Linked DNA regions of Saccharomyces cerevisiae S288C. The protein of the gene in region 2 interacts with the protein of the main gene of each other region in a pairwise test. Each region holds a gene or a part of one and is shown on either strand. Other genes may lie near its edges.

Region 1 (2,992 bases), on a different chromosome or scaffold from region 2:
AATGAAAGAACAATTAACTAATTAATGTACTTAGTATTTGGCCATTATTATCGATTTCGGGGGCCAAATCTAACCAAATTCAACCTACATTTTTTCAAATTGATTCAAACACCTTTCACAATAAGATTTTTATATCTAGCGCACATAGAATGAAATGTAAACAAAGATTTCAGAAAAATCGTCATTCAAACTTGTATTAGACGAGGGACGGAGTGATTTTTGTGTTTGTTTTTATTAATTGTGGGATAGGATAGTAGCAACTCTTGGAGGAGAGCATTGTCAGTTGTCCAGTCTCTGAAGTTAAGTAGTAAGTTTGCGGAGTCAAAGGGGGATGGCTTTTGCCATTTGTGAGAGTTGTGCGGCAGCATCTTATTCAAATAGAGCTGTATTCTGAAGACCTCTTGTAGAACATCATCCATACTAAAAAGTAAATCGTCCTGTCCCATTACGAGCTGTAGTAGTGCTGTGACCCTCTGTATATTTACGTTGCCATGAAGAAGGTAATGGGCGATATTTTGATACAATTCCTGAGTTGCATGTTGGATTGAGTTTACGAAGGGTCGCCAGACGGCCAGAAACCTCCAGGCGGAGTTAACAACTAGTAATACGGCATCCATGTTTGCATCAGCGCCGAGCCTATACCAGTCACTGAGTAGACGTTTTCTTGCTCTTTTTATGTCCTGACTTCTTTTGACGAGGGGGCATTCTCTAGAGACACAGGCAGTTGCTTCCAGCAACTGCCGTACGGCCGTTCTCATGCTGTCGAGGATTTTTTTTGGGACGATATTGTCATTATAGGGCAGTGTGTGACTTATGAATTGTTGTAGAAGGACGTCTGTGATGTTGGAGATATGTATTTTGTTAACTCTTCTTGAGACAATTTGGCCCTGGATAGCGAAGCGTGCGGTTACAAATAGGTCGTCTTGTTCAAGAAGGTAGGCGAGGACATTATCTATCAGTACAAACATCTTAGTAGTGTCTGAGGAGAGGGTTGATTGTTTATGTATTTTTGCGAAATATATATATATATATATTCTACACAGATATATACATATTTGTTTTTCGGGCTCATTCTTTCTTCTTTGCCAGAGGCTCACCGCTCAAGAGGTCCGCTAATTCTGGAGCGATTGTTATTGTTTTTTCTTTTCTTCTTCTATTCGAAACCCAGTTTTTGATTTGAATGCGAGATAAACTGGTATTCTTCATTAGATTCTCTAGGCCCTTGGTATCTAGATATGGGTTCTCGATGTTCTTTGCAAACCAACTTTCTAGTATTCGGACATTTTCTTTTGTAAACCGGTGTCCTCTGTAAGGTTTAGTACTTTTGTTTATCATATCTTGAGTTACCACATTAAATACCAACCCATCCGCCGATTTATTTTTCTGTGTAAGTTGATAATTACTTCTATCGTTTTCTATGCTGCGCATTTCTTTGAGTAATACAGTAATGGTAGTAGTGAGTTGAGATGTTGTTTGCAACAACTTCTTCTCCTCATCACTAATCTTACGGTTTTTGTTGGCCCTAGATAAGAATCCTAATATATCCCTTAATTCAACTTCTTCTTCTGTTGTTACACTCTCTGGTAACTTAGGTAAATTACAGCAAATAGAAAAGAGCTTTTTATTTATGTCTAGTATGCTGGATTTAAACTCATCTGTGATTTGTGGATTTAAAAGGTCTTTAATGGGTATTTTATTCATTTTTTCTTGCTTATCTTCCTTTTTTTCTTGCCCACTTCTAAGCTGATTTCAATCTCTCCTTTATATATATTTTTAAGTTCCAACATTTTATGTTTCAAAACATTAATGATGTCTGGGTTTTGTTTGGGATGCAATTTATTGCTTCCCAATGTAGAAAAGTACATCATATGAAACAACTTAAACTCTTAACTACTTCTTTTAACCTTCACTTTTTATGAAATGTATCAACCATATATAATAACTTAATAGACGACATTCACAATATGTTTACTTCGAAGCCTGCTTTCAAAATTAAGAACAAAGCATCCAAATCATACAGAAACACAGCGGTTTCAAAAAAGCTGAAAGAAAAACGTCTAGCTGAGCATGTGAGGCCAAGCTGCTTCAATATTATTCGACCACTCAAGAAAGATATCCAGATTCCTGTTCCTTCCTCTCGATTTTTAAATAAAATCCAAATTCACAGGATAGCGTCTGGAAGTCAAAATACTCAGTTTCGACAGTTCAATAAGACATCTATAAAATCTTCAAAGAAATATTTAAACTCATTTATGGCTTTTAGAGCATATTACTCACAGTTTGGCTCCGGTGTAAAACAAAATGTCTTGTCTTCTCTGCTCGCTGAAGAATGGCACGCGGACAAAATGCAGCACGGAATATGGGACTACTTCGCGCAACAGTATAATTTTATAAACCCTGGTTTTGGTTTTGTAGAGTGGTTGACGAATAATTATGCTGAAGTACGTGGTGACGGATATTGGGAAGATGTGTTTGTACATTTGGCCTTATAGAGTGTGGTCGTGGCGGAGGTTGTTTATCTTTCGAGTACTGAATGTTGTCAGTATAGCTATCCTATTTGAAACTCCCCATCGTCTTGCTCTTGTTCCCAATGTTTGTTTATACACTCATATGGCTATACCCTTATCTACTTGCCTCTTTTGTTTATGTCTATGTATTTGTATAAAATATGATATTACTCAGACTCAAGCAAACAATCAAAGAAATCTTTCACTGCTCTTTTCTGTGTTCCATTTAGTTTTTAGTACGATTGCATTGTCTATATACTGTATTTACCAAATCTTAATTTTAGTCAAACATTAATGTTTACTTTCGTATTTAAGGATGTGTATACTAAGCCTTGGGAAAATGCGTGTTCCTTGTGCCATCCGAAAGCTACTTCATAAAAAAGATACTGTTCATTTTCAAGCCCGCATAGTTGGATCAAATATTAACTATATATCAACATGGTCCAAAGATCGTAAGTTTGGTCTAATGTTGTTTTAGCAAAAAA
Region 2 (7,293 bases):
GATCACCTTCTTCAAGAGTGAATAAAACGTCGTCTGAATCGTGATCGCCCTCAGAATCCATACTATCCTGAGTGTAGTGTTCCTGGTATGAAGGCTTCCCACCTAAAACGGTAGAGATATCAGGAGCAGTTGATTGCGGAACTCTTAAAAACTGATTCGTTGGGCTTACGTGATGGTTCCTGGCATTTGGTGGAATATAAGCGCCTGGTGAATGTTGAACTGTAGTCGTAGAACCACGCCTTGCATAACCATTTATAGAACTATTGTTGTTATGATTATAGCTCATGTTGTACCTTGAAAGTGGTGACTTACCGGTATAACTGGAGGAACTTGGTCTTCTGTATTTGTTAAAGTTTTTGTTCCAACCCTTTATATAGCTATTACCATTGTTAAAATTATTATAATTACTTCCATGATTGTTATTGCTGTTGTTGTTATTATTGTTGTAATTACGATTCTGTCTGTACTGTTTATTGTTGTTGTTGGAAAACCCCTCCATATACCTGTGCTGGACACTTGGAGGAGTGAAAAAATCTCTGGTGTTGAATTCATCCCTTGCTTTGTAATCGTGGAAAAAATTATTCATGTGTGTATTAGGCGTTGGTATGCCAAGAGGCTTCCTTGATTTTTTCAAAATTTTACTTTTCTTTCTATCTTCGATATTGACTGGTTTGGAAAATTGATTATCAGTTCTTCCGTACTTATTGCGCTTCTTAAATTTGAACTTAGGAGCAGATTTAGCCCTTTCATGAGTAGATAGTGTTGTATTATAACCCTGGTTGAAAAATTTCTGTTGTTGTGTAGACGGTTTTTTAAAGAAGCCGCTTGCAACATTTTGATTTTGAGAGACATCTGACCGTTTCCTTTCATTCACATTATTGAAATTGAAATCCTTTTTAAATTCAGGCATATGTTGTTTGTTACTAGATGAAATAGGAGTAGGTAATGATACCGGTGCTGAAGATGGAGGAACAGGCTGAGGTGGCAAACCGTCAATCATAGTTTCTTCATATCCTTCATCCAAGTTATTATAGTATTCATCGTCTAATGTATACTCAGATAAGTTCTGTAGTTCAGTTCTCATCATTTTCAAGTCTCTATTAGCCGGATCGATGGTTAAACTATACCTTAATACTTGAAAGAAATCATAAGCCATTGTCGAAAATACATCAAACAACGCTTCTCTATTAGCAGCAAAATAACAGAATGACTTGTCGGATTGATTGGCAATACTAAAAGGATTCTTATGGAAAACAATATTAAGAAACACAATTCCCATAGCCCATAAATCCACTTTGGCACAGTCATAAGGTTCCTTTCTTTCCTTGATATCCAAATTACTATCAAAAAGTTCAGGGGACATATATCTTTCACTACCGACATTTCTATCCATAGACGTCTTATCTGTAGTAGCCAATCCCCAATCTGTAAGCTTAATTGTCCAATCAATTCCAGAAATTAAAATGTTCTCAGGTTTTATATCACGATGATAAATGCCCTTGTTATGAACATATTCAATTGCATCCATGATTTGTGTGATAATATGAGTGATCGATTTGGTTTTCTTAGGCACAGCATCGGCTTTGATCGCCTCATATAGGTCACCGCCAGAGCAATATTCCATGATGATGTAAGAGTCGAAGAAATCTAATAGAGCAGCAATATTTTGGTGTCTACCAATTTTTGTTTGAATATCAACTTCATACATGGCTTCGAGACAAATGTTATTAGATAGTCTTGATTTAACTTTCGAAGAAATTAGGGACTTTTTGTGTTTGTAGAGATTGTGTTTCTTCTCTCTACTTGACCCGTTATTACTGGAGGCATTACCATTTTCATTTTCATGGCGATCCGTATCAACTTTCGTGTCTTCATCATCATCACAATCGCTACTATCACAATCATTTTCGTCGTCCTGAGGCCCATCGTACTGGCCGTCATCTTCTAATTTGAAAATGTATTTGACTGCAACCAATCTTTTCTCTCTAACATCTTTAGCCAATGATACATAACCATATGAACCTTCACTGATATCCTCTATTTTTTGATATCGATTATTCAAAATACCTCCTTCTTTGTAAATCTCGTAATCTAAAGTCATCGAGTTTCAAAAAATTGTAAGAAAAAAATATTGCACTAACTTTACGTGTCTTTTTGTTTTGTATTTGAAATTTCTAAGTTTTTGGAAGTTTTTAATTTTTTTTTTCCTTTTTTATTTTAGGTTAAAGTATAGTGAAAGAATAGTAGGGTTAACGGAGAGAAAGAATCCGGTAATATGCAGTCTATAAGGCCTATAAGATTTGATGGCGGGTATGAAGCAGGTTTTTTTTTTTTGGCTTTTTCTTCTAAGAAAAAATTTATAGAGAAAAGATGTCTTTAATTATAACCTATTCTTTTTTTTTTTGCCAGCTAATACCAGTAAGTTTTGTTTTTTTGCGACACTAGATTGGAAGAGTAGAATCAGAAAATGAACCTTCTGTAAGTATAAAGAAGTCTTTTTTCTCTTTGATACTACTGTATTCGTGGTGTCCCTTTTCAGAAAACTATAGCTTTGAGCCTGTATGCTATTTTTCTATTTCCTTCTTTGCAGTTCTTTTTTGAGCAGAGAACAATATCCGGGTCACGTGAAAGTTAGATAAGCATGCAAAGATAGCCAGAGAGATTTCGAAGTTGAATAAAACAAGGGAATGGGTCACTTGTTATATTCTTTACAGATTGAGAGTGCAGTAATATTCTGCGGACGCCAGTAAGTACTGTTTGAGGTTGTATTTTTATAGTAGAGGACACTTGAGACTGTGTAAAATGCGCTCACCAAAAAAAAGGGTCTGTTTGCGATCAACAAACAAATAATAAGATAAGTTAGGGAAAAGAAAGGTGAACACTGTTGCGGAATGCGTGGACTGCTTGTGTAAAAATGCTAGTAATGAGGGAAGTGTGGACTTGATATGGCCTGTTGTGGAAGCCTGAGAGTTCTTTCACGTGCTGTGTTCGGCCCGCCTATATAGGGACAAATTGTTAAAAAGATAAATAAATATAATCTGCCTCGGAAGGGGTTGGGAACGCCCGGCAGTAGCGATGAGGGTAACGGGACGATATTTAGAAGTGAATGCTGAAATAAATGGTGTGAAGGCCTCTTGTATGTCGTCTCATATAGGGCTAAAACGAAGCCATCGTGCACAATGGTAAGTTCATTCAGTGTTCCCATGCCAGTAAAACGGATATTTGACACATTTCCGTTACAAACATATGCTGCGCAGACTGACAAGGACGAGGCCGTTGCATTAGAAATACAGCGGAGGTCCTACACATTCACAGAACGCGGTGGTGGAAGCTCTGAGTTGACTGTGGAGGGGACGTACAAGCTAGGTGTTTACAACGTTTTTTTGGAGGCAAATACAGGGGCGGCATTGGCCACAGATCCATGGTGTCTGTTTGTTCAGCTTGCGCTGTGTCAAAAGAATGGTCTAGTCTTACCCACGCACTCGCAGGAACAAACCCCATCGCATACCTGTAACCATGAAATGCTCGTTCTGTCCCGTCTTTCTAACCCCGATGAGGCCCTACCTATTCTAGTTGAGGGTTACAAGAAGAGAATTATAAGATCCACCGTGGCAATCAGCGAAATTATGAGGTCTCGGATACTTGATGATGCTGAGCAGTTGATGTACTATACGTTGCTGGATACCGTGCTGTACGATTGTTGGATCACGCAAATAATTTTCTGTGCCTCAGATGCGCAATTCATGGAATTGTACTCTTGCCAGAAGTTAAGTGGTTCGATAGTCACTCCATTGGACGTAGAAAACTCTTTATTACAGAAGTTGTCCGCAAAGAGTTTGAAGATATCCCTAACAAAGCGGAACAAGTTCCAGTTCCGCCATCGAGAAATCGTCAAGAGTATGCAAGGAGTTTATCACAACCATCACAACTCCGTTAATCAAGAGCAGGTCTTGAACGTTTTGTTCGAGAATAGCAAGCAAGTTCTTTTAGGTTTAAAAGATATGTTGAAAAGCGACGGGCAACCCACTTACTTACATCTGAAAATTGCAAGTTACATTCTTTGTATAACGAACGTTAAGGAACCCATAAAGCTAAAGACATTTGTTGAAAACGAATGTAAAGAATTGGTCCAGTTTGCACAAGACACCCTGAAGAACTTCGTTCAGTAATCACTTTCAAGCTGTAGTATGTAAACGATATAGATGAAGTTTTCGTGTGTATAAATATATGAACTCTAGAGTGTTGCATAATTTGAAACACAGCATTTCTTTTCGGAGAGCTCGTTTCAAAATGAAACAAACGCCGTTGTCCGTTTTCGTCTCAATAGAAAAAGTGAAACAGATAAAAATTGTTTTAAAAGAAACGAATTTGCAACATCTTAAGATATATCAAAACTAATACAAAACAGCCTAAAAAAGATTGAACAACTCTTCGCGGTCAGGTCTCGACACCATAAATCGAAGTACTCGTACGCTAGTTTTCTCGCACATAGTACCACTACGTTCCTTTTACAATTAGATTACTTCTTTTTAGTTGACTTTTTTGAGACGTTCGTGCCATTCATAAAATAGGAAAAGATAACAGGTAAGCACTGAAGACTTGTTTTATAAGTGTCCCAAGCGAGACCTAGAGTGGATATTGATATTTCTCAAACAAGACTCGTCGAAGAAAACACACTTTTATAGCGGAACCGCTTTCTTTATTTGAATTGTCTTGTTCACCAAGGATGAAAGTCCAAATAACCAATAGTAGAACAGAGGAAATCTTAAAAGTTCAAGCTAATAATGAAAACGATGAAGTCAGTAAAGCTACTCCGGGCGAAGTTGAAGAATCGCTAAGGTTAATCGGCGATCTAAAATTCTTTTTAGCCACAGCGCCGGTAAATTGGCAAGAAAACCAAATTATAAGGCGATACTATCTGAATAGTGGACAAGGCTTTGTCTCTTGTGTATTTTGGAACAATCTATACTATATTACAGGTACTGATATTGTCAAATGTTGTCTTTACAGAATGCAAAAGTTTGGGAGAGAAGTAGTTCAAAAGAAAAAATTTGAAGAGGGTATTTTTTCAGATTTAAGAAATCTCAAATGTGGTATAGATGCAACTTTAGAACAACCAAAGTCCGAATTTTTGTCGTTTCTATTCAGAAATATGTGTCTGAAAACCCAAAAAAAGCAGAAAGTATTTTTTTGGTTCAGTGTAGCACATGATAAGTTGTTTGCGGATGCGTTGGAAAGAGATTTAAAAAGAGAAAGTTTGAATCAGCCTTCAACGACTAAGCCCGTTAATGAGCCCGCCTTATCTTTTTCATATGATTCCTCATCTGATAAGCCTCTCTACGATCAGTTACTTCAACATTTAGATTCTAGAAGACCATCTAGTACAACAAAATCAGATAATTCGCCTCCAAAATTAGAAAGCGAGAATTTTAAGGATAATGAGTTGGTAACAGTAACTAATCAGCCGCTTTTAGGCGTTGGCCTCATGGATGACGATGCGCCAGAATCCCCCTCTCAAATTAATGATTTTATTCCTCAGAAATTGATTATAGAACCCAATACTCTCGAATTGAATGGTCTCACAGAAGAAACGCCTCATGACTTACCCAAGAATACCGCTAAGGGCAGAGACGAAGAAGATTTTCCTCTCGACTATTTTCCTGTATCTGTTGAATACCCTACGGAGGAAAATGCGTTTGATCCGTTCCCTCCACAGGCTTTTACGCCAGCTGCCCCTTCCATGCCTATTTCCTATGATAACGTGAATGAAAGGGATTCTATGCCCGTTAATTCTCTTCTTAATAGATACCCCTATCAGTTATCAGTGGCACCCACTTTCCCAGTGCCACCATCATCATCGAGGCAACATTTTATGACAAATCGGGATTTTTATTCATCTAACAATAACAAGGAAAAATTGGTATCTCCTAGCGACCCTACCAGCTACATGAAGTATGACGAACCAGTTATGGATTTTGATGAATCTCGGCCAAATGAAAACTGTACAAATGCAAAATCTCACAACTCTGGCCAGCAAACTAAACAACACCAATTATATTCTAACAACTTCCAGCAATCTTACCCAAACGGAATGGTTCCAGGATACTACCCAAAAATGCCGTATAATCCCATGGGGGGGGATCCTCTACTCGATCAAGCCTTTTATGGCGCGGACGATTTTTTCTTTCCACCAGAAGGATGTGATAACAATATGCTGTATCCACAAACTGCAACTTCATGGAATGTTTTGCCCCCTCAAGCTATGCAACCAGCTCCAACCTATGTTGGGAGACCATACACACCGAATTATAGATCGACACCAGGTTCCGCGATGTTCCCATACATGCAAAGTTCAAATTCCATGCAGTGGAACACTGCTGTTTCACCTTATAGTTCGAGAGCACCATCTACAACTGCTAAAAACTATCCTCCTAGCACATTTTATTCTCAAAATATAAATCAATACCCACGGCGAAGAACTGTGGGAATGAAGTCTTCACAAGGAAATGTTCCAACAGGTAATAAACAATCTGTGGGCAAGTCTGCAAAAATTTCAAAGCCTCTACATATTAAGACAAGTGCTTATCAGAAGCAATACAAAATCAACTTGGAAACGAAAGCCAGGCCAAGTGCTGGTGACGAAGATTCTGCTCATCCTGATAAGAACAAAGAAATTTCGATGCCTACTCCGGATTCCAATACTTTGGTGGTCCAGTCAGAAGAAGGTGGAGCTCATTCACTTGAGGTAGATACCAATCGAAGGTCCGATAAAAACCTTCCAGATGCAACCTGATATAATATAATTTTTGAATTTATGATACAAGAATTAAAAATGCGGGCCAGAATTTAATATTAAACAATACTCAGAAGAAAACAACAAGGACAATCTGTTTTTATAAATAAAACAATCTTATACAAGACTAGAGCAAACAAAAAGCAAGAAAAAAAGGTAATAAATGTAACAAATCTATTAACGTTAGAAAATAACAAAAAAAAAAAAAGAAAAAGATAATATAATATAATACCTTTATATATGTGATTTATCTAGCGTCACAGTATGTAATATAAATATCAATGAGTTTCTTAACATGACCTCCAAAACTACATGATCGCTTAGTATTACAATATGTGTTTATCCACTATTTTGATACCAACGTAGTATTGCCTTTTATTTTTCAGAATGGCAAAGGCCATCGGAAAATTTTTCCACCAGAAAAAGCGAGATTCCTAATTATAAGGTGAAGGCATCGATGTTCATAATAGTTAAAAGTTGTAATCAAAAAAGAAAAAGGT

The links.
Region 1: the proteins of STE12 (region 2) and HMLALPHA1 interact in a two-hybrid assay, tested with the Saccharomyces cerevisiae proteins (one large-scale study listed by BioGRID).

The regions. Positions count from the first base shown.
Region 1 is NC_001135.5:11,318-14,309, forward strand, and holds HMLALPHA1 (transcriptional co-activator mating type protein alpha), read left to right. Parts: upstream 1-1,964; coding exon 1,965-2,492; downstream 2,493-2,992. Other genes in the region: YCL068C (uncharacterized protein), read right to left, coding at 186-968; HMLALPHA2 (homeodomain mating type protein alpha2), read right to left, coding at 1,069-1,701. UniProt on the Saccharomyces cerevisiae protein: Mating type proteins are sequence specific DNA-binding proteins that act as master switches in yeast differentiation by controlling gene expression in a cell type-specific fashion. Silenced copy of ALPHA1 at HML.
Region 2 is NC_001140.6:269,448-276,740, forward strand, and holds STE12 (homeodomain family transcription factor STE12), read left to right. Parts: upstream 1-4,726; coding exon 4,727-6,793; downstream 6,794-7,293. Other genes in the region: putative serine/threonine protein kinase KSP1, read right to left, coding at 1-2,101; SAM complex subunit SAM35, read left to right, coding at 3,180-4,169. UniProt on the Saccharomyces cerevisiae protein: Binds to the DNA sequence mediating pheromone induction (called the pheromone response element = PRE) which is found in the upstream control region of several a-, alpha- and haploid-specific genes.